Linked DNA regions of Rhinolophus ferrumequinum. The protein of the gene in region 2 interacts with the protein of the main gene of each other region in a biochemical or structural test. Links are inferred from orthologs where the notes say so. Each region holds a gene or a part of one and is shown on either strand. Other genes may lie near its edges. The genes, in order: SMAD3, ERBIN, PKP4 and RPS6KA1.

The links.
Region 1: the proteins of ERBIN (region 2) and SMAD3 form a complex in vitro, tested with the Homo sapiens proteins (2 studies listed by BioGRID). The link is inferred for Rhinolophus ferrumequinum from reciprocal best matches to the Homo sapiens genes ERBIN and SMAD3.
Region 3: the proteins of ERBIN (region 2) and PKP4 form a complex in vitro, tested with the Homo sapiens proteins (4 studies listed by BioGRID and IntAct, with this or other methods). The link is inferred for Rhinolophus ferrumequinum from reciprocal best matches to the Homo sapiens genes ERBIN and PKP4.
Region 4: the proteins of ERBIN (region 2) and RPS6KA1 interact in a test that uses a peptide from one of them, tested with the Homo sapiens proteins (2 studies listed by BioGRID and IntAct). The link is inferred for Rhinolophus ferrumequinum from reciprocal best matches to the Homo sapiens genes ERBIN and RPS6KA1.

What each region holds. Positions count from the first base shown.
Region 1 is NC_046289.1:44,064,725-44,072,398, forward strand, and holds the start of SMAD3 (mothers against decapentaplegic homolog 3), read right to left. Parts: upstream 3,008-7,674; 5' UTR 2,543-3,007; coding exon 2,337-2,542; intron 86-2,336; exon of another isoform or gene 65-85; intron 1-64. UniProt on the Homo sapiens protein: Receptor-regulated SMAD (R-SMAD) that is an intracellular signal transducer and transcriptional modulator activated by TGF-beta (transforming growth factor) and activin type 1 receptor kinases.
Region 2 is NC_046290.1:42,188,311-42,196,180, forward strand, and holds the start of ERBIN (erbin), read left to right. Parts: upstream 1-4,867; 5' UTR 4,868-5,130; intron 5,131-7,870. UniProt on the Homo sapiens protein: Acts as an adapter for the receptor ERBB2, in epithelia. By binding the unphosphorylated 'Tyr-1248' of receptor ERBB2, it may contribute to stabilize this unphosphorylated state.
Region 3 is NC_046291.1:63,589,904-63,597,590, reverse strand, and holds the start of PKP4 (plakophilin-4), read left to right. Parts: upstream 1-4,687; 5' UTR 4,688-4,948; intron 4,949-5,641; exon of another isoform or gene 5,642-6,060; intron 6,061-7,687. UniProt on the Homo sapiens protein: Plays a role as a regulator of Rho activity during cytokinesis. May play a role in junctional plaques.
Region 4 is NC_046292.1:18,178,046-18,185,848, reverse strand, and holds the start of RPS6KA1 (ribosomal protein S6 kinase alpha-1), read right to left. Parts: upstream 3,010-7,803; 5' UTR 2,943-3,009; coding exon 2,808-2,942; intron 1,963-2,807; coding exon 1,846-1,962; intron 1,581-1,845; coding exon 1,499-1,580; intron 1-1,498. UniProt on the Homo sapiens protein: Serine/threonine-protein kinase that acts downstream of ERK (MAPK1/ERK2 and MAPK3/ERK1) signaling and mediates mitogenic and stress-induced activation of the transcription factors CREB1, ETV1/ER81 and NR4A1/NUR77, regulates translation through RPS6 and EIF4B phosphorylation, and mediates cellular proliferation, survival, and differentiation by modulating mTOR signaling and repressing pro-apoptotic function of BAD and DAPK1.

The DNA.
Region 1 (7,674 bases), on a different chromosome or scaffold from region 2:
CCAAGCAACTGGGTTTCCCTAACTGAGAAAAGACAAAAAAAAAAAAAAAAAAAGTCTGCCTTACCAGTCCTTGCCAGGCAGGTAGTAGAAGCCCCCAGTCCTAACAGGTCATGAGAAAGCCAGGGGGCAAGTTAGCTTGAACACTCAGAAATATTCAAAGCATTCATATGCCTCAAGCTGCAGACAACTGTAAAAGAAGGAAAAGCAGGCCATAGCTAGGTTCCCCCAGAGGGCAAACTTTTACCAAGGCAGGGGAAAAAGCAAGCCCTCTCCTCCAGGCTGTCACCAGCACACAGACTGAACATTGGCAAACTTACCAACATAAATCCACACTGCCCTCCACCTCTCCATCCACCCCTGGTCTCCTTAATAGTGCTTCAGCATTCAGCATTCAGCAAAGAACTATTCAGAACCTTCAAAGGAAATAGCAGCATGGGGTAGGAAAAGGAGCACATTGGGTCAGAATCCCATGTCTACAATAGCAAGCATTTTCACCTCTTCTCCAAAGTTTTCTCGACTTTACAAATGAGATAAACCTTAAGCCTAATTGCCTTATCTCTTTTCCAGGAGTTTCTTTCTTTCTTGATTTCATAACACCATGTGAAAGTGCTCTGTAAACTGTAAAACACTTTACACAGCTGCTTGTTTTATAATTGATACCTTTTTTTTCCCCTTCTGTTTCAAGGCACAAGGCACTTGTCCTTACTGCTCCTGGACAGGTAAGAGGGCAGGTCTCACAAACCCCTCCCCAGGCAGAAGTAGGACATTCATCACTCATTCACCCTACTCACCCACCCACCCACCCACCCCCGACTAAAGGAGTAAAGAAGAATGAAGAACCAGAGCTGGGACCAGAACCCAGGGCTCAGTGACCATCACATCACACCACCTCCTCTGAAGTCAGTTCTGGCTTCGGATCACACGCCCAGAGCGCACTTCCCAGACAGTACACCGCCTTCCCTCCCCCTTTATTGACTGGATCCACCCAGTTAAAAAAAAATTATTATTTTTTAAGTCAGCTCTCCCACCATATGTGGCATTTATTTCCAGAGAAGGCCTGCCCTGGGTTCCCAGGGACAGATGTTGCTTTGTGCCTGCCTGACACGGCTGGCAGCCCTTGTACAGCTGCCCCAAGCAGGTGGCCAAGGATGGGGACCACTGCTGGCCCACGAGTAAGGATGACAATCTCTGTGGGACTCAGGTCCTAGGAACACTCTACTCATGCCTCTGCAGCCTGGGACCCCAAGGACACACACACACACACACTCCTTTGGTGCAGAGTCAGACTTTAGAGGGGGCTGAGAGGAAGAGACAAGAGGCCAAGGTGTCCCCTCATACCCCAATTTCCATCCAGGCACAGCTAAACTAAGAGAAGGCCCTGGGGAGTGAAGTCACTGACCCCTTCTATCAGCCATCTGTGAGCTCCCTCCTAACCCCGCTAGCTAGCGTGTGGTGGCGGATAAAGGAGGTCCAGGCAGATGGCAAAGCGCTTTAGGAAGGAGGGCTCTGCAGGAATGCAAGGGCCGCTTCGAGGCCCACTTTGGGGTGAGTTTTGTTATCTCCTCAGCTCCAAGCACTCTCTGTTCTGCATCAACCCGCAGTCTCAGACTGAAAGGAGGGCAAAAAGCAGTCTCAGGAGGCAGGGGAGAAGACCCTACTCTCTGCCACTTGTCTCTCATTTGAAAGTCAGCATTGCACTGCAACCAAAGTGAATGTGTGCAGAGGGGGCGGGAGACTGGCACAACCAAGTCTAAAAATACTCGATAAAAATGCTAATCCCGAAGGCAAAGAGAGAACGAAGAAGGAATCTGTCAATCACGAAGCTCCCGCTCCTCACCCACAGCCCCAGCTGTACCGACTGCATTCCTGTTGACGAGGAAAGACGTGGGGGGACAGGACTGAAGAAAAGAAAGGGAGAGACACCACCACCTCCACGAGCGCGGGCCGCGGGGGCGGGAGGCGGCGGCGGAGGAGGGGCTCTGGCCCGCGGAGCTGAACAAAGCGGGCCTCAACTTTGAGCCCGCAGCTCCCCGGTGTGGGGGCGGACAATTCCAGCAGTACCCCTCTTTCCCTGAGGTGAAAAGCGAAATGTGAGGTCTGGCGTGAGAATGCCGCGTGGAAACCCCAGGCTCTTAATCTGCGAATGCAGAGAAGGTTTTGTTCAGGGTCTCCTTTCTGTCCGCACTCCCACCTCCCCTTACACAACACACACATACACACACACACACACGCACACACACACACACACACACCCCTCCCGCTCCAACCCCACCCGGCCGTCCCCGCCGCGCCAGGGGTCTGGGCCAGCGCGCCCCCGGGGTCGCTCGGGCCCCCACCTGGGAATAGTGATGCACTTGGTGTTGACGTTCTGCGTGGTGATGGCCTTCTCCAGTTCATCCAGCTGCCCCGTCTTCTTGAGCTTCTTGACCAAACTCTTGACCGCCTTCTCGCACCACTTCTCCTCCTGCCCGTTCTGCTCGCCCTTCTTCCAGCCCAGCAGGCGCTTCACGATCGGGGGGGTGAAGGGCAGGATGGACGACATGGCTGGGGAGGACGCGCGGGCGGCGAGGGGCGCCCCCGGCGGGGCTGGGCGCGGCGGGACGCCGGGGGCGCAGAAGGGAGCTGGGCCGGGGCTGCCCAAACTTCGCGTCAACTCTCGGCGAACTTGCCGGCGCTCCGGGCCGGGCCTCGGCACTGCAGCCTGCGGGGCTCCCACGGCGTTGAGAAGGACGGTGGGGGAAGCGGGCGGGAGGACGACTGCGGCGCCGGGTCGGCCAGGCCCCGAACGCGGGGCGGAGGCTGCAGCCGCGAGCCTCGGAGTGGCAGAAGAAAGTTTGGGTTTCCGCACGGGGTGGCTGTTTGGGTGCCGCCTCCAGGAAGGAAAGTCCAACCCCCACCCAAACTTTGCTCGCCTCGATCGCTTTGATGCGCAGATGCCTCCGACTCAGCAGCCTCGCCTCCCAGCTACCCTCCTCCTTCCCCGCTCGCTCGCTCGCTCGCTGGGCCGGCCCGGGCGGTGCGCCGCGCTCCCGCTCCCGCTCCCGCCCGCTCCCAGTCTGTGTTTCATGCAAATCCGCGTGCAGCCTCCTTTCCAAGCGCTGTCACCGCCCCCTTGCCGCCGGGGCTCCCCGCCTTCTCCCCCGCTCCCTCCCCCGCTCCCCGCCACCTCCTCCCCCGGGCGCCCTGCCCGCCCCCAGCCTCCGGGAGGGCGCCCGATCTCCCCCGCCCGGCCTGGAGCACGCCCACGTGGGCGATCCCGGACAGCGGCGGCCCTGGCTGGAGCGCGCAGGACCCCGCGCGGCCCCGACCTGAGTCCGGCCGGCGCCTGGAGGAAGTCGTGGGAAAGGAGCCGCGAGAGGGGCCCCCGGCGCGGAACCCACACTCAGGAAGCTCAGTTGAAGTTGCGGGCCCGAGAGGGTTAGATTCGCAGAGAATGAGCGCCGTACAGCCAAAGGCTGGCGGTGCACCCCTGGGAGGGCCCTGGTCCGAGAGAGGGCGCACCGAAAGCCGAGTCCCAGGAAGTCGGGGCGCACACTTGCACGCGCGAGCGCTGGTCCGGGTCAGGGCCCTTGGCCGGCGCTGGCGACCCGAGAGCTGTTTTCATTCTTTCAATTTTGAGATCACACTGGCTGAAAGCCCCGAAACTAGGTGCAAAGGAGGGAGTTGGGAGGCGGGAGAACTGGGATTCAAAAGTGGACTTTTGGGGACCCCAGTGACTCCCTGAATAATAGCTGGAGCTAGGGGGCCCTTGCGAATTGAGTGCCCGGTAGAAAATAAGCCTCAAAGACATCTCCTGAGTTCAAGAAGTAAGGAACGGGGGTGCTTTAGAATGTCTCTTTCAGAGGAAACATAACCGGGTGTTTGGAATCTTATGATACAGTAAGATCCGAAATTCGACACCCAATAAATAGATGGAGAGAGAGCTTTGTTTCCAAAGCTGTGAACTCGCAAAAAGTAGAGCAGAAGGGGAGTACTCGGATAGTTTATATATTCAAAGTTAGCCTTGGTGGGAGGCATTGAAACACCAGGCTATTGAGGAACTTTGGGGCTTTACTCCCCACTAGCAGAATTCATGGGCATCTGCCCACAAAGCCCTCAGCCTCTTTCAGGAGTTAGTCATCCCAGGCCCCCAGGGCCTTTCTCCTGCAGCCCCTCCCCTACCATGCCTGTAGCCTGGTGTTTAAGGCCTTTGTTTTTAACAGCAGGAAACCCCCCGGAGTGAGAAAGAAGTTATCTGCAAACCTTCAGGCCTGGGGAGTTACAGAGCCCTGTGAGGTAGGGCAGAATCCACAAAGTTGGCCCAGAAGCTGCAGGGGTCCCTGCCTTGTCAGAGAGAACGGCCTCCCACAAGCCTGTTGGCTGCTTCGGCTGCTGCTGAGCCTGGCTCTTCACACTTCTGTCCTAAGTCCCCACTACAAGGACCTTAAAAGAGAACCCCTGAACCCCACCTGGGGCTTAAGTACCTGCTTACTCTTCCTGGCTGGTCCTCTGGCTAACCCAAAGCCGCTGTAAGCCTTAGGTTTCACTCCCCACTTCCCAGCTCTCATCAAAAAAGCGAAGGAAGGCAATCCACAGATGGCTTTCTTCATTCCAGGTACCCAAGTGCTGTCCTCTGATTTAATCTTCGCAATAGCCGTTGAGGTAGACGTTCCTAGGCCTCCCATTTGCAGAGAGATTACAATACTCACTCGGGATTCCAACCAGAAGAGCTGGGATCTGAACCCCGTGCTTTGTGAGGCCTCAGTCCGCACTCTTGCCACTGCACCCAGCCTTATTATAGTTGTGGAAGGCAAAGATGACATCATTGATAGAGCTCTTTGCAAAACAAAAGTTCTTTACACAGTCACGCTATTGTCACACTCCAAGAAATGTTTGCTCACCTGTAAAATGGGGCTAGAAGTAGCTTTCCTCTCAACCTCCCAGGGTGGTCGTGGGACTCTAACATGAAAAGCTTTGCAAACAGTCAAATGTTGTAAATGAGAGGAACCCCACCTTGGGGCCACTGCTAAGGCCATGAAGAGTGGTGCGGGTGACGGAGCCCAGGTCAGTTAGACATGCACTCATTTCTGGGAAATGAAAAATGAAGCTTCCCTAACCTCAACCAGCTCAAGGCCTAGAGAAGCATGAAGGGGTGGGAGGTGTGTGTCTGGTCGAAAGGAGCCATTGCATTCGTCATATCCCAGTAATACAATATTCACCGGAATCAAATCAAGCAGGTCCAACTGTTGAAAGGCAGTCGGATAAAGACAAAGGTCTTCAAGCTCCATCAACGACTGGCTGGGCTTTCAATCCTGGCTCTCTCCCTCCTTTCACCCCATGAGCACCTGTTCTCTCAACGGTAAGGATGGAGGGAACGGTCCTTACTGTGCAGAGTGGTGTATCTAGAAAGAGCTTTAAAATTGTTCTCCTCCAATGCAAGTCCCTCATTTTACACTGGTAGAAGAGATGTCTGATGAAAGGAGGCGATTTGCACTGTGGAGGTAAAGAGCCTAAAAGAGATCTGAGGATTATATGTAGTGGAAGGATCTGGTATGTACCTAACCCTCTAAAGTCATGACATTGGAAGGGGCCTCATTCAGTCCTGTCATTTTCCTGAGAGGAAGAAATAGCCGCTAGTTAGTGTAACTAACCATGCTTTCCTGAACTTCCTTCGTATGCTGGCATCCATGTGACTGGGACAGCTGTACATGCAGAAAAACAGTGCTGGATCCACATGCGAGTCCAACAAGTACCGTTGCTGGGCTAATTCTTTCTCCTCTAGCCTCAGTTTCTCCACAGGAAGAGAGTTGAGGGAATAAGCCCAGTTTCACAAAGCAGTGAGGAGGGCTGATGACTGGATTGCTCCAGGTGCTAAGAGGACCCTGCGTGCGCCCTTGACTTGGGCCGTGAGTGGGTTGGCGGCTCCAGGTGGATAGGAATTCTGTTCTGGAGCCTGGTCTCCCAGGCCCGGGCCTTTGCAGAAGTTGTCCTTGGAAGGGAAACATTAGCCCGGTTAATTTTTCATCACGGTAGGTGCAAAGTTCAAGAGAGGCGGGATGGGGCCGGAGGCTGCGACTCCATTTCCCTGGGAATAGTTAGTCCTATCAGGGAGGAACCACGTAAGCGGACTTGCCAAAGGGTTTTCATGTGTTTGGAGCAGCTCCCAGGTAGAACAGTGGAAGGAAACAAACACCTGACTTCAATTCTGATTATTTTTCCATTGGCGAAAGGGTGTTTCATCAACAAGTTGTGAATCTAGAAAAAGCATTAAAATGGTCCTGTCTTCATGTGACACAGACATAAAGTGACATCTGGTGAAGGGAGGTGATACGTCTAGAGATACGTTAGGACTCTGCCAGGACTAGAACTCTCATCAGTGTGCCCTCACCTAAGAGAGAGCCACAGTCTCCAGCCAGACCTCTTTCTATATATAGCAGCTTATACACGTGAACTCTCCAGAGGCACCAGACAGATCTGAGTTAAACTAGTTCTACCACTTCTAGCTGTGTGACTTGGGGCAAGTCCCTCAACTCCCTGTGTGTCAGTTTCCTCATCCGTATAATGGGAATAATAATAACACCTACCTCTTAGGGTTGCTGTAAGGACTCAAATAACCCATGTAGAGAGCTTGCCATAAGCCCACAGTACGTTTTCAGTATTCTATGCCATAGAGCACAATGCAAAAGTTAGAAGCAATAAGTTCTGTGTACACAAAATAAAGGGACTGATCTTAAAAACAGTTCCAAAAATGAAAATAGTAACACAGAGAATGAAGTAAAAAACTATGCTACTCATGTGAAAAATTACATATAACCAAAATAACAATATATGTTGTGAAACAAATCATATAAACAAAAAGATACACATTGAACCACTTCACACCCATTAGGATGGCCATCAATATACACACGACTTGTATTCATCTTTGGTTATTGGTATATATTGAGTATTATAATTTTAATAAAGTGTTTTCCGTTCTTAGAATGCGTAGACTTTTTTTTTTTGGCACTCTCTGTATATATGTAAAACAGAAAATAACAAGAGTTGGTGAGATGTGGAGAAATTGGAACCCTTCTGCATTGCGTGTGGGAATATAAAATGATGCAGCCACTGTGGAAAATGGTATGTTGGGTCCTCAAAAAATTAAACATAGAATTACTACTTGATCAGCAACTCTGCTTCTGGGTATATACCCAAAAGAAGCAAAAGCAGGGACTCAAACAGATATTTGTATACCCATGTTCATAATACCATTATTCATGATAGCCAAAAGGGGGAAACAAACCAAGTGTCTCTTGATGGATGAATGGGTAAACAAAATGTGGGATACGAGGTGTAATCATAAAATACGATGAATGTTTAAATTTTAAAAGATGTATTACAATAAAAGACACATTAATATCCTTCAAAATACTCTCCCTCACTTTGAACACACTTATCCCATCATTCTTGCCACTTTCTGAAGCAGTTCTGGAAGTCCTCTTTCGTGAGTGTCTTGTGCTGTCGTGGCTGCCTCGATGTCCTGAATCAATTCAAAAAATTTTCCTTTCATGGTCATTTTGACTTTGGAGAAGAGCCAGAAGTTGCATGGTGCCAGATCCGGTAAATAGATGGATGAGGACATACAATAGTGTTTTTATGTGACAGAAATCGCCATACCAGAAGCAATGTGTGACACAGAGCGTTGTCACGATG
Region 2 (7,870 bases):
TACCAGGGAAGATTTGAGTGGGGAGGTGGATCAGAGGAAGGTAATAAAGTTGGAAATTATTAGGATGACTATTTGCTGCAGTTGACCCAGGATGTCCTGGTTTTACATTTGTTGTCCCTTTGAAATTGTTATCAATGTCTATTAACTCTCTAAAGTATTCTAGTTTGGATGATACACTATATGAGGGAAGCATAGTATATATTGTCAGTGCATTTTAAAGTGCATTGCTAATAACAGCTAACACTTTTGAGTCTGCAAAGCACTGTGCTAAGCACTTTTTGAGCATTGTCCCATGTAAGTAGTTCTCCGAACAAGCTATGAGGCTGTTAGTATTGTAGTCCCCCAAAAGGTAAGGAAACTCAACTTTGTTTATTATAGATGTTAAAGAACTTGCCCAAGGTCACCAAGCCAAGTTTCTAAGTCAAGCAGTCTTGTTTCAGAGGTCACACAAATAATCACCATGCATTATTTATTTTTTCCACACTTAAAAAAAAAATTGTAAGCCATCTGAAAGAAATTTAATTTTGCTAGGCTACAAAATGTATATGATAGAAAAAAATGTTATCAAGCATATACTAGGGGGAAAAACATCAAAATTTTTTTAAAAAAGTTTTTCACAAATAGAGGCAGACTTCTCTGTGATTCATAAAGTATCATTGAAAATCTCTGAAGGCTGAAACATGCTATAGGAGGGATGATGACATCCCCAAAGTATTATAAAATCCTTAATTTTTGTTCTTGCATGTACTGCCTCTTTTGAGCCCAAGCTCGGTTCCCTGCACACTTGCCACTCTAACCTCTTGCCCTTTCTACCAAGGGGATAAGATGGACGTGAAAATAGGGAAGTCAGTCCCTATGATCTAATTTATCTAATGCTTCTAAACTTTTTTTTGAATCTAACTCTAATCTGGACCAAAGATTAATTTTTCCCCAAATTCTGCGATAAAAACTTCGGTTTTAGGTAACCAATTCTTTACTAGGTGTTGAGGAAGACAGAAAAGAAGAATGATCATCCTAATCTCTTCCTTGTCTCCTGCTTACTGTCTCCATAATGCTTCTGCACAGCTGCTTGACTGTCGTGGGGAAATAACAGGGGGACCTTTTTTAAAGCAGTGGATAGGTGCTCTGCTAAGACACTTTTTCTGATGGATGCTGTGTGCATTCTCTGGAATGCGTTTGGCAAGGTCTTGAAGCTTCCATTCAGATATGTGGCTTTATCTCTAGTAGGCAGTAATTCCTCTCCTGAACCCAGATATTGGGAAGGGAAATCTCAAAGAATTCCCTGTCTTTCACAGACAATTATTTAGAGAATCACAATGTGGAAGATAAAGCTATACTATCAACAAATATTTATTAGCTTACTCTCTAAATTGGTCCTGGAGTTCAGTTAATTATTACAGAATCATGGTTTAGGCAGCCTTGTTTAACGTGGGGTTTCAGTTCTTTTAATCATAATTGAAACTGTTAAGTCCATCTTAAGTTCAACTGTGGGAGGATTTTCAAAGAAAACTAATCTATAAAGCACAGACCAGGAATGCCTTGTAATAAAAAACATGTGGAAGATTTGGCTATATCTGTATGTGCTGTTCATGAGTTGGAACTAAATAGTTGGCAATGAATAACAAAGATGAATTATTAGTCCTGATTATTGACTACCCTGACCATATACCGTGTTCTCCGGAAAAATAAGACCTAACCGAAAAATAAGCCCTAGCGTGATTTTTCAGGATGACATCCCCTGAACATAAGCCCTTGTGCGTCTTTTGGAGCCAAAATTAATATAAGCTCAGTCTTATTTTCGGGGCAACACGGTAGCTGTTATGTCACTTTTCTGTGTGAGCACAGATGAGTATTCCTGAAGATACGTTACAAAGGGATTTTTAAAGAAAAAATAGGTTATATTAACAAGCGCATCCTGTCTTCTATCCTTTTAAGACCAGTGTTTTGGGGATCTTACAGTATGAGTAAGTAGGACTTACATAACAATCAAATGGAATACTTTATTATCTATACTTCTGTTCTCTCCACATTGCCCTCTATTACATTTCCCTCTCCTACATACTCAGCCTCAGCATATGCTGTCTATATTCCTTCCCATCAAAGCTGCTTTAGGGAAACAATCTGATGAGTTAGATATAACTAACTAAAAGGCTTAGAATATTACCTTTCTCAGGATTATGGCTTTGTGATAGAGAAATATGCTAAAAGGAATTAAACTCTAGTGGCAAAATATCAGGTGAATTGGAGAAGGGGTTTTGGGTTATAGGGACTTTTCTAAGCTAAATGGTAATCAGCCTGATCCGTGCCCCAGATCAACTTAAATTTCCAAACAGGCTAGGGTCAGGACAGGTCCTAGCCTAAGGACTGGTCTAGTCCTATTCATTTAGGTTTGGGGTGGGGGCTGTTGGTTTACTAGAATATGATGCCACATTTGAAAGGATCTTGAATCAATCTGAGACGAAATGCATTATCTGTATCCCAAAATCCAGCTGGAGCTGGTATGGGAGATACTGCCACCCTGGGCAGATGGCTTTAGGGCAGTGATCCTTCCAGTTTAGAGCTATACCACTGAGTCTGGTTTGGGTCAGACCCAAACCAGTTGCTGAAAGTGGAATGGGAAATATTTTTTGTGATTAAAAATACAATAGGTTAACTTTAGAATTTATACAATGGCTAAGAGTCATGTTCACATAAAATGGATAACTAGCTTCGTATTACTAGTATACCCTGGTTGCCGTTTCGTTTCCTAGCTTCTAGTGTAATGCTGTCTTACCTCCAGTTCAGCACTGAATTAAGCCTGAACACTTTGGTACTGTGAACCTTCAGCCTCTGCTCTAAGTGAAGGAACTACCTGTGTTAATTTCAGCAGTTCTGGAAGTAGTTAAAATGCTCCCACCCCTAATAGAATGTCTTGAATATCTTTGGAGTTATTTCAAGTCTCAGTAACGTACAACTCTCTTCGGTAAACAATTCTCTGATGGACTTTATGAATTCCTTCTTTTGGATGCAAGCCAAAAATCATCTGTAGGGCATACAGCTCTTTATTCAAACTTGGTAATAAATAATTATCTCTGGAACACAGACGAAGAACTGAAATAGTGACTGCAGGGACACAGAAACTAATTACCATCACTGTACCCAGTTAAATACAGCAGACTGGGGGCGGGGAATGGTTTGTTCCGTATCTGTTACGTTCCTCCTCCGGGTAAAACAAGGCCGTCTTGTCTGTTAACATATTTGAAACAGTAACTGCAAAAACTGTGCAATGTTATGGTTGAGGCGTTTCTGCCATATGTGCTGATAGAAAGCTTAAGTTTCTTTCTGCAATAAACGCAAACCCTGCCAGGCTGAATTATCAGGGCCAGCGCAATTCAACGACTGCACCACCGAAACCACTGGCGGTGGAAGCCTGCGTCGCATTCGGAGTGTATCCAACGTTTCTTCTAACAAAGGCACTATCTCGAGGCAATTTCGCGGGCCGTTTTCCCCCTCCCCTCGCCAGCTTTGTCTCCCCGGCGGGTGAGGCTGAGACTTGGAGGAGCCCCAGCTGCGTTGCTGTGCGAACAAGCTCGGAGCAAGGGCCGGCGTGGGAAGCTCCACGGAGCTGCCGCTGTGGTTTCCTGCAAACTGAGCGTGCCATTAGAGGAAGTTGGAGTGCTGCAGTTGAAAGCGATACCCGCAGTCTTAAAATCGAGCTTGACTTGAACCCTGAGCACCGATAAGTGTCGTACGAAGAAACTCAAGCGACCGATCCAGCGGAGGTCAGCGGGCTCTCCGTCTTCCGGGCCGGGCGCGGAGCAGCCGGGGTCCGCGTCCTAAGCGCCCCCACTTAGGCTGCCGGGGAGCAGCAGACAGGCCTCCCCCTGCCGGGACCAGAGCGGGCCTCACGCGGCGCCTCGCACGCGAAGCCTCGGCCGCCGCCGGCCCCTCCCCCCGACCCCAGCCCCAGCCCCCGGCCGGTCGCCCCCTGCCGCCGCCGACGTCGGCCTGCGCCGCCCCCGCGAGCGGTGACTGGCTCGCGCCGGCCTCCAGCCCAGCTGCCGGCGGTTGGGGTGCAGCCAGCGGGAGGCCGCCCCGCCCCCGCCGCGGAGCCGCGGCGCGCAGCCTCTTCCCCCCGCCTCCTGGCCGCCGGGGCGGTGGCGCCGAAGCCGCGGCGGCCTGTGAGGCAGTAACTCTCCTCCGCCCCAGCCCCCTTCCTCCTCCTTTCTCTCCTCTCCCTGCCTCCCTCCCCTCGCTTCCCCTCCCCTCGCAGTCTCTCGCTCGAGTGAATGTGGCGCGGCGGCGCGGGACGCAGCCTCGGCCCCTGCCGCGGCCCCGCGAGCTCGTGAGGAGACGCAGCCGCCGCCCGCCCCCACCCCCTGCGCTTCCCGGGGGAGCCACCACAGCCGGGGCAGAAGAGGAGGGGAGCGAAGGGCCGGCGGCGGGAAACCGGGAGAGGGCGGAGAAGAGGGTTCGAGGGCAAGTAGGGAAGGCGGAGAGGGACGGCCAGAAGGACGGCCGGCCCGACGGACAGCCCGGGGAGGGGGCCGCCATCGAGCCAGCTCGGCCCCTCGGCTCCGGGTCCCGGCGGCGGCGCGGGCGTAGGGCGCGGCAGGCGCTATCGAGACAATAACCCCGCCGCCCGGCTCTGGGGGCGGCGGCCTAGTGCGGCCAAGGTCCGTCCAGCGTCCCGGCGGCGTCGGTGGCCCCGCCGGCTGGGTACTGTCACCGTCGGGAGTGCGGGGCGCGCGGGTCGCCCCGGGCCAGCGGCTCGCGGCGGACGCCCCCTCCCTGCCCCCTCGGCGCGCGCGGAGCTGGTTTTCCGGGTTCCCCTGGACGGAGCTGGATCCTGCTTCTCGCCAAGGCAGGAAGTGAGTTTCGCACGGTAATTCCGGGCGGTGTCACGAGTGAAAAGTTTTTTTTTTTCGGCGGAGATCCTAGTTGGGGCTGGGAAACTCCTGCAGAACTCGAAGACCAGCCCGCTTCCCAGCCCCCACCGGAGCAGCCTACTCGTCCTGCTGCGGGAGGCCACTCCACATCCGCTCTCACCGTAGAGAAATTCGGCTGGAGCCAAAGTGACTAACGAAGGGAAGGAAATCATGTCTGGCGAAACCTTGAAAAAGCTGCCCTGAGACACTGCCCGACTGAAAGGTAATTATCACGAAAAGTGTCTAGAAGTCACAAAGCTCCTGGGCCAGGAAAGAAAGAATACTTGAATGTTTTTCACTTTCCCCCACGTTGTCCTAATTCTTTTCTAATGTCGAACTGGATAATGTTTCAGGTGCTAAATAGAACTGATTTTTCCCCCCTTCCTACCATCTGGACTCTGGTTATTCTAGAAGAGCTTGTAAGAATGCAGTGGGACGAAAAGTTTTAAGCAATCAGAAGAAAGAGTGCCTTTGTTCAGCGCAAGGTCCAGACGTTTTAGTTTCCCGGAGCATATACAATGTATATTTTTTATTAAGTTGCTGAACCTGGCAACTTTTGTTTTGGAAGGAAGTTAGGTCGCTGCAGCGAGTGATTTGCTGTTGAGATGGCTGCCACATTTGTGTACACTGTTACCAGTTGGGCTTTGGCTTTTAATCGTACAGATATTTTTTTAGTTCAAACCCTTATAAATGTATGTCGTTGGATTTTGTAAACAAAAGAGGTTGCCATTCGTAGTCGTTTTTTCCAGGTAGGTAATATATTTCTTTAGTAACTTGTTTCTTTCAGACATTTAAAACCTTATAATACTTGTTTAATTAATTGAAAGCAAATGACTGCTAGATTTTTCTTGTAACTGAGTGGTGGAAAGAAAAAGGGAGTAAGTGTTAGGGATAAAGAGGGAGTTATAATTAAAAACACACTTGTAAGTTTGATTTGTTAGGACTTCTCTACACTTTAGAACAGAACATAGAGGAAGGGAAGTAAAACGTTTTAAAACGATTTTCATGGGTGTCACATTGTGGTAAATAGATGTGCTTTTTTGTATAGTACAGACAGTCTTTACATTTTTGTGTTGGTCCTAATGTTTTGGCCAGTTCAGCCTAGTAAGTGATAGGTACCTACTGTGGGGGCCGGAATTAGTGAAGCATGGGAAACTTTCCACCAGTCAGAGTTATAAACACTTGTGAACCAATCGGCAGTCTGTATGGATCAAACTAGTTTTGGTCGTAGCAAATACAAAATGTTTCTTTAGTGGTGTCTTTTAAAATTCAATTTTTTCCCCAGTACTTTGTGTTCAAGAGAGGTGACAGATAATACTGTGCTCCTGAATAATTATTAAATGAATGTGGTAGTCTGTTGGTAGGTGTTTCCTAAATATAAATTGTTCGGCTTGTTCATGTTCCATATTACCCCAAGAAAAATTGTCTTCTTTAGTTCAAAGAAGAGAAAGGCAGGTTTGAAAGAGCAAGCTCGAATTATTTCACAACTTGTTCTTTGTTACTTTATTACGTACATTTCAATTCTTGTAACTAATAATATATATAAATATATATTGCTATATATTAGTTGATGTATATTAATATATATAGTAATGCATTGTTTTGATTTTTACCCCCCAGACTTTAGCTTTTGGAGATCTTTTTTTCTTTTAAGTTGCTGGTAAGACTTGTAAACCATCAAGAAATTCCTGTTAAGTCAAAGTAGCTTTATCAGGGAATTTAAGTGCATAACTGATCTACTTTATGATTTTTGGAACGTATCATTAGGCAGTGAAAGGTTATTCTTGGGCATCTGAAAGAGCAGAGCAAAATAAATGGCATTGAACTTCAGTTTCCTTATATGGTTTATACTTGGCTTCAGAGCAACAAAGCCTTAATAGAGCGAGTCTTTTACAGAGAATTATCCTTTTTGAAGATGTTTCTCTGCATTAGTAAATTTTACATATGAAAAGTATTGTAGCACTCAAAAATAACTGCTTAAATCCCATTTTCTAGTTCTTGATTTTTTTTTTTCCTTGAGGGAGCAATAATAGTGTGTTGAGATGCAGACAACACATTTTTTAAAAGCGAGGTGTTCACCTTTGTAGTTGCCTTTAATTCCTTTTTTCCCCTAAACAAGCAAAATTTATTTTGGTTTCCTTAAAATTTTGTTAGTTTAGCACTGGATTAACTTAATGAATATTAGGCTTTATCCATTGCTAAACTATAAGTATTTTCAAAGCCTTGTTTAAAATGTGACAGTGATTTGAAAAAGAGGTTTTAAAAAAAGCGATAATAAATTAAAATATTTTTAAATGATTTCAAATTTTGGATCTTCTTAGTATTGTGTAGGTTTTCTTACATTAAGTTGGCAAGTCTAGAGCATTTCCAACGTTTGCTTATATTGCAAAAAATGCACATTTAATGGCACTGTTTATTAAAGGTACTTAGGAGTTTTCAATAGTGATAAACTTCATCCTTCAACTAATTAATTCAAGTATTATGAAGTCTGTCTGCTGTTTGAGAACAAGGTATTGCAAACTTTGCATGTAGCTTACAGAGATTCAAATATGGAAACCAAATTTTTATTGCATATTTCTTAATGAAGTGTAATTATAGACATTTACACATAACATTGGTAAATCTCTAAAATTCATTTACTTTAAAGATATTGGTACTGAGCTCTTGGTAATAAACACTACTTTTCTTTAATAAACATACTTTACATTTTCAGAAAATTAGGTGCATATTTAGACATTTAAATTATTGCTTATAGATAACATGATTTACAGTTTAAGCTGTTTTGGGCTTAGAAATAGATTATGGCAGTGTTTACAAAGTATTTGGGATAATGCAGAATTTTAGTGGTGTGGATATCAAAGTCATTTTCTTTTTGTAATTGCTATTATCTGGATTTTCTTTAAACATACTTTGATGCTTGCATTTTTACTTTGACTCTTTTCACTTGCCCATCCATTTCTCTC
Region 3 (7,687 bases), on a different chromosome or scaffold from region 2:
AATTCTGTAATACATCATCTATATATCACATTGTGTGTCACCCCATTACATTTTAATTTTAAAAAAAGAAAGAAACAGAAATCTTATGGAATAAAAAATGAAGTTTACTCTGCTTTCATGGGTAGAATAGTAACCCAGAAAACATCAAGACCAAGGCAGTTGCTCTCTCTGGCTGTCTTGTTCTCAATTCCAAATTCCCAGGAGAAAAATCTGATCGGCACTGTTACAGGTTGTGGGTCAATTGTCAGCCTATGAATTGGCTACATTTAAATCAGGTCCCCATCAAGGCTGGTACCATGGGCCAGATGGAAGATCATGAGCCCATGCAGGGCTACCTACTGCAAGGGTTGTGGAGATAAATACCTGGAAACACGTCTGTTATATCTACCAGATGTTGATGCCTCTCTGATTTTATGAAGTTGTTAAATTCTCAGGATTGTACTGTGTTCAAAAAAGACAGAACATCTTGAATGTTTCAAATGGAAAAAATGTAGGTAACCCTTATTTAACCTGTTTGACAAAGCTGAGTTTCAACTGTTTTCCCCCCATGCACAGAATTTTATAGCCTTAGCTCTGAATATAACTTGATGCCAAAGCACGTCAGTCCTTTTCACATAGGTCCCCTCCCTCATAGAGGGGTCCAAGTAAGTCCCGGTTGAGGTAAGATCTGAGGCCTTTCTCTCTTTGGAGGCTACATGGCAAAAACCTCTACTCCACTCTGCCACACATTACCTCACTTTTCCACTTTGGAACTCTGGTCCCATCTTTTTCTAATTACCTCCCAATATTACCGATTCTAATTTTTCATTATTGGAAGGTCAATTCTGCTAAGGACTAAATAAAAGGTTTAATGAATGTTGGCTTTTCTTAGTGTGAGAAACACTTCCGTAGTCTAAGGCACTGTGATATAGTCATGACCATGATATGTACCCTATTCTAGGAGAGAAAGCTCACAGAGATAAGTATAACATTGGATACAGAGTGTTAAGTGCCACCGTAATATGTTAAAGCAGAAATCATCCTCTCCACCGAGGGGTGAGGTCAGGAAATTTTCAGAAAAATCTTTACAGGTAACTATTGGGCTGGGCTCAAAGGGCAGGGGAGGATTTACATATTCAGAGAACGGGCTGGAGGTGAGGCATGGCCAATTCTGAAATCTAGAGCAGAAATTCTAAACTCTAGGATCTCTTTTTAGGACCAGTTTATTTCATTGCTTTCTTTCCTTAATTTGCACCCTGTATGTTTTAACATTTCTTTTAAAAATAAAAAAAAACAAAAAACCCAGTAGCAGCTATCAGTGTACATTTTGAAGTTATTATCTTCAATGCCTTCACCTTCTCTATATACATCCAAACTGAGAAGATAAGGTGTTCCTGCTCCCCCCTTTTCCTTGCGGCCTCTGTTAATATGAAAACAACAAACATTGGAAAGTTACAAAGTTTTCATAATCATGAAACGTTCAGGTTGACTTCTTTCTGGGATGGTCACTAAAATGTTCCCTTGGATTTGCTGTTTACATTTGTTCTTAAGGGTGGAGCTCACCAAACTCCTTCCTTCTTTCCAACATTTCTAACTTGCCCTAGGCCCCAGTCAGCCTGAGCAGAGACTCCTCTTTCTTTTTTCTAATCTGATTTGCCCTAGGCCCCTCTTCCCACTCTTAATTACTAGGAGTTAGTCCCACACAGGTAGTGCAGCTAACAAGTAAAGCTCACCTTCTCAGGTACATTTGCATTTCTATGGACCCTCAGGGTGGGAGACAATGGTTTCTCACCTTCACTGGAAATCTTGAATTCAGGCACTGCAATTTGCAAGTAAACAACACTTTTGTAGGAGAAACCTTTATGCAAAATGAGTTAGGATTTTGAATCTTCAGAATCATTTTGGTTATATTCAAGGGCCAGAATATTGAGGGTGATAAAAATAGAAGCCCTGAGAAATTCCCTTCAGACTGTTTCTTGGTGAAAGGAATGGCCAACAGATAGAGATGGAGGTAGGACAGAAGGAAGGTGGTTTTATAAAAAGTCAGATACTTAAGGCACAGTGAAAAAAATATTAAAGGATGGAACACATGACCAAAGACAGAAATTATAATCAGCAGAGCAACATCCTGGAGGAGGAAGAAGAAGAATGACCCATGTTTAGGAGCACAAGTGGAGCATGAGCTTAGAAGAGAAGTATAGACACCCCTTCTCAGCCAGGACTGAAGGAAGTGATGAAGTTTAAAAATTGAAACTGAGGTCTAGGAAAGTTAAATTGAGGAAGCTCGTGGTGGATGCCTCAGTCAAAGAAAAGGCAAAATCATTTGCAGAACTAGAAGACCAAGTACAGTGGGAGCTTAAGGACAGCAGAAATAGGACAGGTTTGGGAGAAGTGCCTTGGATAATGTCCCTAGATAAGCATCCTTGATAATTGATCACCCTACTGATGAGGAAAGGAATTTAGAGAAACAGTGAAGACCCAGCCAAGTATGGATAGCATAAACTTATAGTGGAATAAAATTTCTTAACCTTATCTAGTAGTTCAACAGCAAGTTCAAAAGAAACTTTTCAACAATTATGAAAAGAATAATGTTGAATGAAAACATTTTAGGTGACAATAATCATGGTGGATTTTAGTAACGTTTTAATCATTACAAACTTGAAATACATAATACCAAAACACTCTTCAAACATGTGACCTGGGAAAAATACAAGAAAATTATTGGAGTAAAAAAATGAATTGGTTCTTGTTTTATTTTTTCCATGCTAGCCTAAGGCAAGAAAAAGGGATACATATATCAATTTTTTTTCTTTTCATTAGACTCATCTCCCTTTCATCTAATAGTATTTTTTTTAAAAACACTAAATCATTGGTATCGTGTTAGTGCATTAAAAATAAGTCTTATTTATATAAAAATTGCATTTTACCTTTTCTATTCTCCTATAAACAAACACAAAAGAAAGCCAGAAATAAAAAGCATGATGATCTAATTTCCATGATGGCAAAGCATGAGATAGCATTCCATAGCCCCTGGTGATTCCTTCCCAATTCTGAAACTAGGGGGAACACTCACATGTTCAGTTGTTTTGTTCTGCAGTCCAACCCTGCATAGGATTGTCAACTAAGTTGAAATATTACTACAAATTGTGAGAGATATTTTTCCAATCAAAGCACCACATTAATAATTTCTATCTATGTTTGTAATCTTCAACTACAGTAAGATAAAAAACAACAGCAAAGCATATTACCAACTTAAAGTTCTGGACAGTAGGTAGACATATAGTTTGCTGAAGCATTAATCCGTTTCTCTCAACAAAATACTCGTAATTTCCAAAATCCTATTAGCTTTCTTTAACAATATGGTCAGCCCCAACTGGAGGGGCAGTAACATACACAGTCTTCTTACTAAAGAGATTGGTATAAAAAAATAGCAAAACCACCAAAAGAAGGAACCTAAGAATATTAGTGGCTATATGATAGAGCAATATAATGCTTAAAAGCCTAATATATTCATGAAGTCTCATTTTAGGAGCCAGTATCTAAATATGAAAATTATTTACCAAAAACAGTTGGTATTGACAAACAAGCACAACGTAACTTTAAATAAAAGATGAGATTTGTTAAAAGATCAAGATTTTTGTGTGTACCGATTCCATGGCTCAGTGTTGTTGTTGTTTTCTTCCATCAAATTTAGACATCATCTGGAAAATACCCTGAAAACAAAATCCATCAACTGTAATCTATTTCCTTCACTCTCTTGTGAAATCATTAGAAACACGGATTGACTCTGTCACCTGTCTTCCCCACCCTGTAACCTCTTAAGGGAAAGAGCAAACATCTGTCAGCTCATAGTGCAGAAAGCACACACAGATAGGTGTTTAATAAATATCCTTCAACACAGAGATTAGAGGATTGCTTCGGGAAGCAGGGAACACATTATCTTCTGTGTTGAGCTTATGACATACAATATGTCAGTTTCCTTATCGAACTATCATCCAAAGGAAATCCTTTTTGAATCTCCTTTATGTAGGGCTGTAAGTTTGAAGACCCAAAAATTAGAGGCAAGATCCGCCCTAGGCAAGGAGTGGTTGGGAAGAACAAGTAGAATTCAGGAGTTTCAGTGACGTCAGGAGGAAGCAGCGATTTAAGGGGTGGGGAGCAAACTCACCTGGAGAAGCAGAAGCTGCACTCATATCTCTAGGGTCAATGGGCATAGCCTCAGGGGCTCCCCAGACGCGGGAAAAGAGAACGACCTCCAAGGCTCTCACCTTCAAGGATTGGGGCTCAGCTGTTCCTGCCTTTGACGCCAGGAACAAACCCTACCTTTCACTGCTGGAGCTGACAGAAAGGCAAAGCAAAAGCTACGCCAAATGTTAAAGCCAGCTCCCGGGAATCCCCCTGTACTTCTTTCCCCCACCCCCCTCCGGCGCCCAAAGCCACCGACACCTTCCCTCTCACTCTCCACCTTCTCCAGGCCCTCACGCTCTTAACAGCATCGGTCTCTATGGCAACCTGAAACCGCAGTTCCCATTGGCCCGTTCAATATGAGGGCCGGGCCAATAGGGAGGGCCAGCCTTTTCCTTCCGACCAATGGGGTTGGCGGGGAGCCGGTCTGGGGACGGCGGCGTGCTGACGTTCCCGGGAGCCCAGGGCTGGCTGGGCAGGCGGGCTAGCGGCTGGGCGGGCGGCGGCGGCCTCTGGGCAGCAGAGGGGGCTCCGGGGCTGAGTCTGTGTCGTTGCCGGCCGCAGAGGCGGCACCATGGGCACCGGGTAGAGGGGCAAGTTGGCCACCGCCGCCGCCGGGGGTGGTGGGAGAGCCGCTTCGGGGGAGGGGGCGGGTGGGGGAGGGAGGGGCGGGCAGCCGCTCCGCCACGGCACTTTTTTAATTTTTCGGGTGCCGTAGGGGCGACCCCTCGGCATTGCTGTCCCTGATCCCCGGAGCGACGACGGCCGCTGCCTGACCTGGAAAGTAAGTGTGCGGGCTCTCTGGAGAGCGCGGAGACTCCTGCCCACGAGACCCCCGGCCCTCGGCCCCTCGCGCCCCAGCCGGGACCTGCCTGCGAGGGGCACGGTGGGGGGACGGGCGCCTCCCTCCCGTTACTCCGTCCCCACCGCCTCGCGGCCGCCTTGGCTTTCCTGCCCCGCCTCGTGTTCCTGCCCGCACTCGCCTGCCTGCTCCCCTCCCCCCGGCAGGCGCACAAGTTTCACCCTCCATTTGCTTTTCCCGGTGATTCCTCTCCTCGGGTCTCCCCTACATACCGCGCGTGACCCCTCCCCACCTTGGCCTTTTCTCATCCAGAGCGCCCAGCCCTGAACTGGAGCGCCACGCCGAGCCCTCCTGGACGTCTGCCGGGAGGTTCCCCAGCTCCTGCCCGCCTGGCACGCCGCCCCGCGCCCCCAACACCCCGAGGCGCCCGCCTTCCCCAGCTTTCGGAGCCGTCTGTCCATCCCTCCCGCCCCAGATCTTGCATCCTGGCTCTCTCCCCTCCCTCCCACGCCCCTGCTGCCGCGCGGTCTCGCGTTTGCCCCCGGAGCCCCGCACTCCAGCGGGTCCTGCCCACCCGGCTCTGTCCAGTGCGCCCTTCTTTGCTCGCGGCGTTTGCTCACGCTCCACCCCTCCCGGTTCCCCAGCTCCGAGCTTCCCTGGCTATCCTCCTGCGCCGCCGCTTCCTCCTTTCCCTGCCAGTAGTTGAAGTGGAGCTGCGGCACCTCCCTGGCGGATCGGGTGTCCCTGCCCGGCGCTGGGGCTGCCCGGCCCTCTCCTTTTTACCCCCTACCGGGGAAGCGAGGGGGTGAGCCGCGGGGCCGGGGTTTGGCTGCATGTTGGCTGAGTGCGACAAACAGCGAGCGCGGGCACTGGAAGCGCCGCGGCGGCCGTGGCCGCTTGGGGAGCAGCAATAGGCAGGTGTCTGTGTCCGGGGGGGACGCACGCCGCGGGCTCGTCGGCTGGCGACAGATTGTGCAGGAATGCGAGGAATGCACCAGGGGCATAGTCCAGAGGGCCCGCCGCGGCTGCACTAGAGCCTTCCTGGCCCAGCTCCGGCCGCGCAGTCAGAGGTCACCGGAGCATCTTTGGAGCTGGTGAGGCTCGCTTCACTCCTCTCCTCCCCTTGCCTCTTCATGCGGCAGAGAGGGCGGCGGAGGGGAAGCGCGGCAGTTCTGTTGGGCTTCATCTAGCCTTTCGTTTGGGTTTTTGCTGCATTGGTCTCCAGGACCGTGAATTTGGGGCCAGTGGCAGTGTAGCTAAGGTTATTGATCACTGCACACGGTTCTTGGCAAGTTTGGTTTGCAAGGTTTTAATTGTGCCTGGTTTTTCCGGGGGTTTTATGAAAACCTGCAGGAAAGGGTGCAGAAGGTTCTTAGAGTAATGAGCTTGCAGCCAACGTTTTTTAGCTCTATCAAAAAATGTCTGTTAATGCTCATGGACTGCGATGTACTGCAAAAGAGATCTTGAATGCATCGCTTTGCTGTCATAAGAATTGGAATTTTTCTTGTCATACTGGGCTGTGTTTAGACCTCTTATAATATATAATGAGTAGAAACAGAGAAGCAGTGTTTGGTCAGCGATGGGACAGATAGAACTGTCTGGTACAGTTAAATTCGGGGCGTGTCAGTTACCATTGAAAGTAACACGGGGACAACACAATCATGTATATTTAAAGATGTAATTTATTAGTGGAGGTCGCAGCTTTTTGTTTTTTTTTTTCTGAGTTTGAAAAAAAATTAACACAGCCCTACAACTTTTAAAGAATGGTAATTATTATTGTGTAAAATCAATAATGATCAGTATACATTTTTGGTCAAATTTTATTTTCCTTAATGAAGAAAAGCAAATTTTTGACAGAAGATAATTTTCTAGAATTGATCTTAGATTCTTTTATTTTAAAAGGGAAGGTAGAAGACTGCTTCTCTTTTTCAATGCAATATGTTGCTATAGAAGTATCTTTTTGATGCCTGTGTAACAGTTATGGAAAATGGCAACCTGAAATGAGAACAACCGGTGTTTAAAACAAGTGTTTCTGATGTTGAAAAGCATACAATGTGTGCTTTTATTTGACACAGTTTGCTTTGGAGGTTGAGTTTACTATAAGCCTCTCCAAACTTGGTTATTTTGTATCAGATTCAGGAATATAAATTGGTTGTCTAGCTGTCTTCCAGCACTCACTTTGGGTGGATCAAGGGCATTCAAAAGTATAAGATGAGCACCTTTTAGTTAAGGACCTAATGGAAAGGAGAAATAGAAAAGGAAAAAAAACTGCACTGGGAAAGGTTGTGTGTTTTGGCTACTACATTGTTTTTCAGGTATGTCCATAATATGTAGACCTTCTAATTTAGAGGTTGAACTCTTAATTAGAGTTAGCAACACTGTAGGATATTGGAAGGTGTTTGTAGATGCCAACAGGAAACTTGTTATGTAACAATATCATATTACAGCAGAGTTTAACACGTGCTTATTTGATTTGATGGGAAGATTAGAAGTAAAAGCACATTTAGTTTCTGTTACACTAGAAATTGAAGTAGCCCATTCAATATATAGATAATGCATATGCAGGATTGGCTGTACAAGTAAAGTTTTACCCATTCAAGTAAAGGTAGGCTTTCAGTTAGAAATGTATTCTATTGTTATAGATATTTGAAGAGAGGAAGTTTTTAAACAGGTGATAATCCACAATTGAAAACAACATGTACTGTGTTTTGACTAAGTACA
Region 4 (7,803 bases), on a different chromosome or scaffold from region 2:
CAGCCTTTTCTCCATCTGCCATAAAACTCTCCAATTCCAGTCTGGGGGCTGGTGAGAACAGTCACTTGGAGAGCTAGTTAGAAAGGCAGATTCCCTGGGTCTCAAATTCAGATTCATGGGTCTGAGTAGGCACCCCCCACCCCACCACACACACACATGTTTTTAGAGAATAAAAGTCCTCAGGCAATTTGATATCAGCAGGTTCTTCTTTGACTCAGTTTAGGCCTCACCTCCTCCAGGAAGTCTTCCTTAACCTGCCATGCTGAGTCAGGATGCTCTTTCTTACAGGGCTGTGCTTTCCCCTTCGGAGCACCTTTTACATGCTAGTTTAACGTTTCTGTTTCCCTCACCAGACATGGCAGGGACCACACTGTAGTTAACTATTCTAGTCACTGTTTCCCAACTAAACCTTACATGTTCAAACTGCCCTTACACTTTTGCTAAGGGAAACAATTCCTCCATCCTGGGGTACCCTTCCTCTACCATCTTCAATCTGGAGAACTCCCAACTCATCCTTCAAGACACAGCTCAAATGGTTACTCCTTATGTGAGCCGACCCCACTGGGAGGCTGCACCCACCTTCCCTGGGCTCCCCAGTCGCAGCGCCAATTGCAACACCCTGCAAGGTCTGCCTTGCCTCTCCAGCCCCACGGGAGCCCTTCAAAGCAGGGACCAAGTCTTTTCATCTTTCTCTTTCCCCATGGCTCCCACTGTCCCTGCTGAGGAATGACTCCTACCCCTACCAGGCTGGCATTGGGGCACCAAAGCTACATCACCCCACAGATGCCCCTTCATGGGCCACATGACTCCTAATGTCCCCAAGGCCAACACTTCCAATTCTCCCCACCTCACCCCAGCCTGGTCAGTGGCCAGTCTGGTTCCCAGGCTGCTCAGAGTCACTGCCCAGCACAAAGGCTACTCCCAATCACCCTCATGCCCTTTGGAAGTCCTGGAATTCCAGGCCTGGACTCGGGCTCCCTCCGAACCTCTCTGCCATCCATCTCCATGGACCCGCCTTGACTACCTCTCCTACCCACGCAACCGCCTCCCTGGGCTCCCTGCCTCTTTGCTCACACCCTTCTCCACTCTGAGGTCTCCCTCAGACTCTTGTAACATTGTGAAGCAACTCTGCTGAGAGGGGCCTCTGCCCAACCAGCCTGAAACCTGATGTCTGAAGGCCTCCAACACAAACATACTGCACCCCTGCTCCCACCTCCTTCCAGACTACATACTGGCACTTGGCTTGGCGGTGGGGGTGGGCGCGGGGTGCAGTTAACCCTGGAGATCTTTTCTTCTGACTGGACCCTGTCTTCATCATAAGGAGGGGTGGTGGGTAGTAAGGGACAGCTGAGAACAGGCCAGTGTCTCCACCTTCAGACCAGGCACTCCTGGAGACTGAGCTCTCTCCTGCATCAGACTTAAGGCCCTGGACAGCTGGGCCATCTCACTTGGTCCTGTGCTGCCCTGGGCTCTGCCTGAGGAGGTGTCCTCCACTCACCTTTCAGCGTTGCCTTCTTTAGTACCTTCATGGCGTACAGGTGCCCACTGTCGGGCCGGGTAACTTTCCGCACCAGGAAGACCTGAGAAGGCAGCACGGGAAAAGCAGAGGAGAAGCTGCGGAGAGGACTGAGCCCATCAGCTCCCACCCTCCAGGTCCCAAGCTGCCCTCCAACTTCCCTGAGTCCCACCTTGACCTTTTGCCCTCCCTGGGTACCAAGGTGACCTCCTGTCCTGCCTTGAGCCCCATCAACCCTTGCCCTCTGGTACTTTGAGCCCCACAGTGAACTCTCACCCCACCTCTGGTATGACCACTGTTTCCCTCCCAACTGTGGGATCAGGACTTACTTTGCCAAAGGATCCCTGGCCCAGAACCTTGAGCAGCTCGAAATGGGATGGGTCAGCCTTCTCAGAGCCAGCCTTCACATGGTGCGTGATGGAGATCTCCTTGAGGACACCCTCATCCTGATGGAGGAACACAGCAGGTGGGCACGTGGGCCCCATCCAGGCCAGCATGGGGAATGTCCCCCATCCAAGTCCACTCACACCAGATCTCAGTAGACGGGGCCCTGCAGGCCCAACCAGACAGCTGCCCCGACAGGGCCAGCCTCCAGGTTCATCAATACCAAAGGGCCTCACAGGCCAGAGGGGGTCAAACTACTAAGGTGTCTCTGCTCCTATTGTTCCTGATGCTCCGGCCTGGTCACACCCAAAGGGATGCCCAGGCATGGCCAGGCTGGCCAAGCTGAGCCAACTGCAGGCTCTGGCTGAGGCCCACAGACCAGCCCCAGGTCCTCCCCTCCCCCTGCTGTCAAGTTTTGGTTTTGCCACAATAGGAAGTAGGGTTTATTCTCACACTGGGGAGGCAAAGCTGGGTTTTTGTTCCTGGACAGGATGGATGACGGGATCCTTTTGGCCAGAAGGACAGAGCTGAGATGCTTAGGGACCCAAGAGGCACCTGAGACTACCCCCAACCCAGTAAGTGCCAGTCTGGGGCAGGTAGGAGCTAAGGCCAGACTCCATGCCCCACCCTCTGAAAGTTCCTTCATACAAGTCTACTAAAAACCGCTCTTCAGGTCCCAGTTGTCCTAGGACCCCTCGCCCTCTGCCCTCCCTCCGGTCTACCGGTGTCACTCCCTGGACCCCTGAGTGCCTCCTCACTCCCCCAGGGAGCAGGTCTGGGTAGGGTCCAGTCGTCCAGCAGGGCCAGGCCTGGGCTAGGAGAGCCCAAAGACAGCTGAGGCCACACTGGCTGCCCAGGCACCTGCTCCAAGGGCCACAGGCAGGCCAGCTCATCCGGGCACACTCACCGAGTCCCGCCTGGGGCCAGAGCCAGGGCCAGGGGCAGGCAGAGCAGTCTGGCTGATCCTGGGCCGCTGCTTCCTGGGCAGCCAGGGGAGCAGGGCCCAGAGCCGCAGACGGGGCGGCTTGGGATCCTGCTCCATCCGCCCGGCAGGGCCAAGGCACCATGGCAGGAGCAGGCAGCGTCCGGGGCTGCCTCGGAGGTGGCCGGCCCGAGGCGGATGTGCAGAGTGAGGGCGGGGGCTGGGCCCGGGCCACCAATCACGCAGGGCCTGTGGTTTCCTCGCTCCAAGCCTACACCCTCACCACGTTCCTTTCCTCTCTCTTCCCCTGTCCCCATTGCCTGAAGGCTGCCCTCTGCATCCCCTGTGGGCCTGCAAAGGGAAAGCCCCATACCAACCCAGCTGCTGAGGAGCAGATAGGCACCCCACAGGCAGAGACCGGCTCCCAACAGATAAAGACAGATGAAGGTGGGCATCCAACAGGCAGAGGAAGGAGTGTACACATGCCCAACAGGCAGAGGTAGAAAGAACACATATCCAACAGGCGGAGACAGATGGGGACAGGTACCCACAAGCAGAGGCAGGAGGGGACTCATACCTGACAGGCAGAGGTGGACAGAGACTCATACCCAACCTGCTGAGGCAAACGGGAACACATATCCAACAGGCAAAGACAGATGGGGACATGTACCCGACAGTCAGAGACAGATGGGGACCCAACAGGCAGAGGCAGATGGGGGCTTGCATCCAACAGGTGGAGACAGATGGGGACACATACTCAATAGGCAGAGACATAAGGGGACACGAACCAACAGACACCTAACACGTGACATGTACCCAACAGGTGAAGACAGGCACTCATCAAGTACAGACAGACACAGGAGCCCAACAGAAGCCAGAGGCAGGTGGGCAGCAAACAGAGACTGCCAGTCAGTGAGGCCCAAGCAGACAGACACATAGGCAGGAAAGACACCTGGACACCCAAAAAGTCGGACCCCGAACTCAAAGGCAGAGCTGGTCTACCTGGGGGTGAGGAAAGAGGTGAGGGGATGTCGCCTGCAAACCCTCAGCACTTGGGAGAACAGTCCAGTATTTGTGGCAGACCCATCTCTGAGGTCTTCCATTTCTTTGGAATGTTCTTCCCATGCCAGGTCCTGAAGGGGGGCCCTGGACTACGAAAGTAGGCCAAGCGGGATATCTGAGTGCAATCTGATGGCTCTGACTCTCATCCAAATATCCCAAAAGCAGTTGTGCCCATTTCGGGAACAGGAAATTGAGGTCCAGAGCACAGTGACTCACCCAGGCTCAAAGTGCACTGGAGGCAGAGCCAGCTTGAACCCAAGTCCTTCCCCTGGCTATTGCTTGACCTGCGATTGGGAGGCCTCAAGTGCCAGGAAAGGGTGGGTAGGTAAGTCAGCCGGAGCCATGTCCAGCCCTTCCAGCCCGCCCCCTCCCTCGGTACTAGGGTCAGTCCGGGGACTTCTCATTCTAGATATCGACCCTCACAGACACAGACACATCCTCAGGGGACCCTGAACAGCCACAAAAAGCTGCAGCCACTAAAAGCTGCACGCTAATCAGGCTCCTGAGTGTAACCCCAGGGGGGACAGGCAGAAAGCCTGGCTCAGAGAGGGGCTGCGGTGGGCCAAGGCCACACAGCAACCCCCGTCCCCAAACCCTGCGGTCTGAGCCTCCACCTGTCTGTCTCTGGCTGAGAATACTCCCTGGAGACAGAGCCAGTCACCCGGAAACCCCAGGGGAAAGAGTCACCCCCAAACCTATTCCTTGCCCAGAGTCATGATGACAGACACCAGTGGAGGCAGGGAACCCTCTGCTCACCTTTCTGGGACAGGGGAGTGGATCTCTCCCCACCCAGGGGAGATCTGCCGGGCTCTGCATGGTGGGGCTCAAGCCAGTGGCCAGAGGGCCCCGTTAGTCCCTCACTTCTGCTTTTTCAGCCTTCCTGGCCCAGAAGGCAGGGTCCCTGACCCCCTCCTTCTCACTTCCCCCTCTGCAGAGAGGAGGGACAGAAGATGGGACAGGCTTCCCTGCTGAGGAGGGGACACGGTAGACCCCAAGGCCATGACTGCAGGGGGTGGGGCCAGGGATACACCCCTCCTCGTATCCTCTGATCCCGAGAAAGGGGAGACTAGAACACAGAGTCACGAGGTGATGAGGGGCTCACATAGTGGGCATCCAGCAGCTGCAAACATCCCCTTAAGAGAATGAGGGCAGAAGTCAGCAAGCCCATGGGCTCTGACTGCCCCGGCCCAGAGCACAGACTCTCCTTCCCCCCGCAGTGACCTCCCCATGGCTGGGCCCACCCAAAATGGCAGCCCACAGAACAGGCACCACCATAGCAGCCCTGCCCTGAAGAACCTGCCAGTCCAGCGCCCTGGGATGGGCAGAAAGCCCTAGCAAGGACCTACAGAGGTCTCAGTGGAGGAGCAGGTAGCCTGGGTCAGGGGTTGACCAGGCCCAGCCCCCTTCTACGTGGCCTCGCCGCGTCACTCACACCAGTACACCCACCGGAACTGATACGCACACAAATACACACAAGCCGATGATCGGAAACGATTTCCACAGACATCCCCTGTGTGGAAACACACGCCCCCACGTACACACGGACTTCCCCTTCCAGGCCTCGCAGGGCCTCTAGTAACAGTGTGATGCTGGTCTGCCAGGCTTGTGAAAGATGCCTGCTTAGACGGAGGCTTCTCATTGCACCCCCGCTGCTTCAGGCAGGGGTGTGGAGATGGGGACAGCCCTGGGAGCCCCAAAACTCTCTGGTCCTGTGCCACCGGGTCCCCCTCACCCTTGAGACCCTGAGAATCAAAGGAAGACTCTGTGGCTAACAGAGTACAGGAAGGAAACAGTCTCCGAACTGCCTTCACTGAAGGGTACGTGCAGGGCCTGGGGGGGCCTCTGGGTGGCAGGAGGGGAGGACAGGCACCAGACCACATCCCCTGGTCCCTGCCCCATTCCTCCCTAAAGATACTTCCTCTTATGTACTTCCTTCCACAAGGCAGCTGCAAGAGAAGCCCAGCGCCCCCTGACCTGATCCTGGGTCCCGAGGGCCCCCCTGGGCCTCCTTCCACTCGCTGCAGTGCAAGCCCACGTGCCAATCCCTGGCCCTAACGGACACCAACAGCTTCTTCCCCAGCTGACAGCATCTGCAGGGCCTATCAGGTGCTGCCCACTCTGGTGAGACAGATGTCCCCAGACGTATCTCCCAGCATGCCTCTGGGCCGGGCAAGAGGGGTCCACAGTTCCCAGACATCCTTGATGGGGAGCTGGCCTCAGGCCCTAGGTCAGGACTGGCATGGAGTGACACTGAGAATTGTACCTCCTACAGATTGAGCATTTATTGCACAAAGATGTTCTTTCCTTCAACCTTTGCTGATGTGGATTCTGGCAGGCCCTGTTTCTTAGCTCCAAGGGAGGTATTGTCATCCCATTTCAGAGATGAGGAAACTAGGCTCAGAGAGAAAGTGACTTGCCCAAGTCCACATGGCTAGAAAGCGGGAGAGCTAAGACCAAAATCAAAGTCTGTTTGCTTCCAAAGCCTACACTTCTAACCATTTCATTATTGCCCTCCCTGCAAGGCTGGCCAGCTGGCCTCCCCTTTGGACATCACTCGTAGCTACTGTTCCCGCGCTCTGTCCCCAGGCCAGGAGCCAGACACTGGGAGGCGCCCGTGTTAAGGCTAACGCCGGTGTTGACCTCAGGTAGATCCAGAAAATAAATACAGGAAAACAAAACACAATTGTCCAGGGAGAGCTGCCGTCAGGTGCTGTGGGTGCCCAGGGGCAGTAACCATCTGCCTGGGGTGAGGTCCAAGAACCTTCCAGAGAGGTGGCAGTACAACTGGAACTTAAAGAGGATAGGAGTTGGCCAGGCAGAAAGGCGAGAAAAGGCACTTCATGCAGAGACCAGCATGAACAAGAGGCTGAGGCCAGGAGTGCAGGGTGGGAAGTTAAGCACTGGCCACTCACTAGCTGAGTGTTTCCAGGCAAACTCTTTCTCTGTCTGAGCCTCACTTTCTTCCTCTTTAAAACAGAGGTTAAAATGAGATGTTCCACTCTCAACAAGGTTGTTTCTAGAAGCAAAATGGGCCACAGAGGCAAAGGGGCATTGTAAACAGAACATCCCCCCGGATGAGATGGCAGGTCTTACTGCTGTAGTGTCACCTCTGGGTAGGCAGAAGGATAGAGCCCTGCCACAGGGTCCCAGGTTCTGGGAGGGTGGGCGAGCCCGCGCTGGCCAGTCCAAGGGAAGTTCTCCCCAACACCTGAGGCTCCCAAGGCTCCCTGAAATCCAGTCACATCCTGCCTGTGCTCCAGCCAGGGGAGCAAAAGGGATCCGGGAGGGATCAGGGTTTCATAAACAGGAAGAGAGGAGGGGAGGGGAGAGACACTCGGCTCTCAAAATAGACCTGCAGGCGCTTCAAAGGGGTCCAGCTCCGGAGATTGGGGGGGGAAGCTGGGGTGCCCAGTCCACCCCCAGGAAGGGAGGGTGAATGGAGCTCCAGTATGCCTGAGGACACCAGGTGCACCTGGGGTGTTGAAAAGATTCAGGGAGCTCTCACTCTAGACTGCTGTCCACACTATGACTGCTAAACCCCAAATCCCCCTTCCTGCTTGAAATAAATAAACAAGCGTTAAATACCAACATTGTGCCTCAGACTTTGTTAGATTAGGTCTTTAATTTACAGGCATCCCATGCCCTCCTCCGCCGGGCGTCCCTGAGGAATGGACTCTGTTCTCCTACAGGAAAAGCATCTGAGCCTCAGAGGAGCAAACCACTTGCCCAAGGTTATAAGGCAAACAGGAAAGGAGCAGGATCCTGAACTCAGAACGCATGATACCCCAGTCCTCTTCATGCCTCTTCTCCCGCTGGAAGGCCCACTTCTCTCTCCAGCTGCCCAAATGCTGCTGTCGGAGCCCAGCCAAATTCCAGCTCCATAGGGAAGGTGGCTGCTGCCCCATAGCCCACCCCAAGT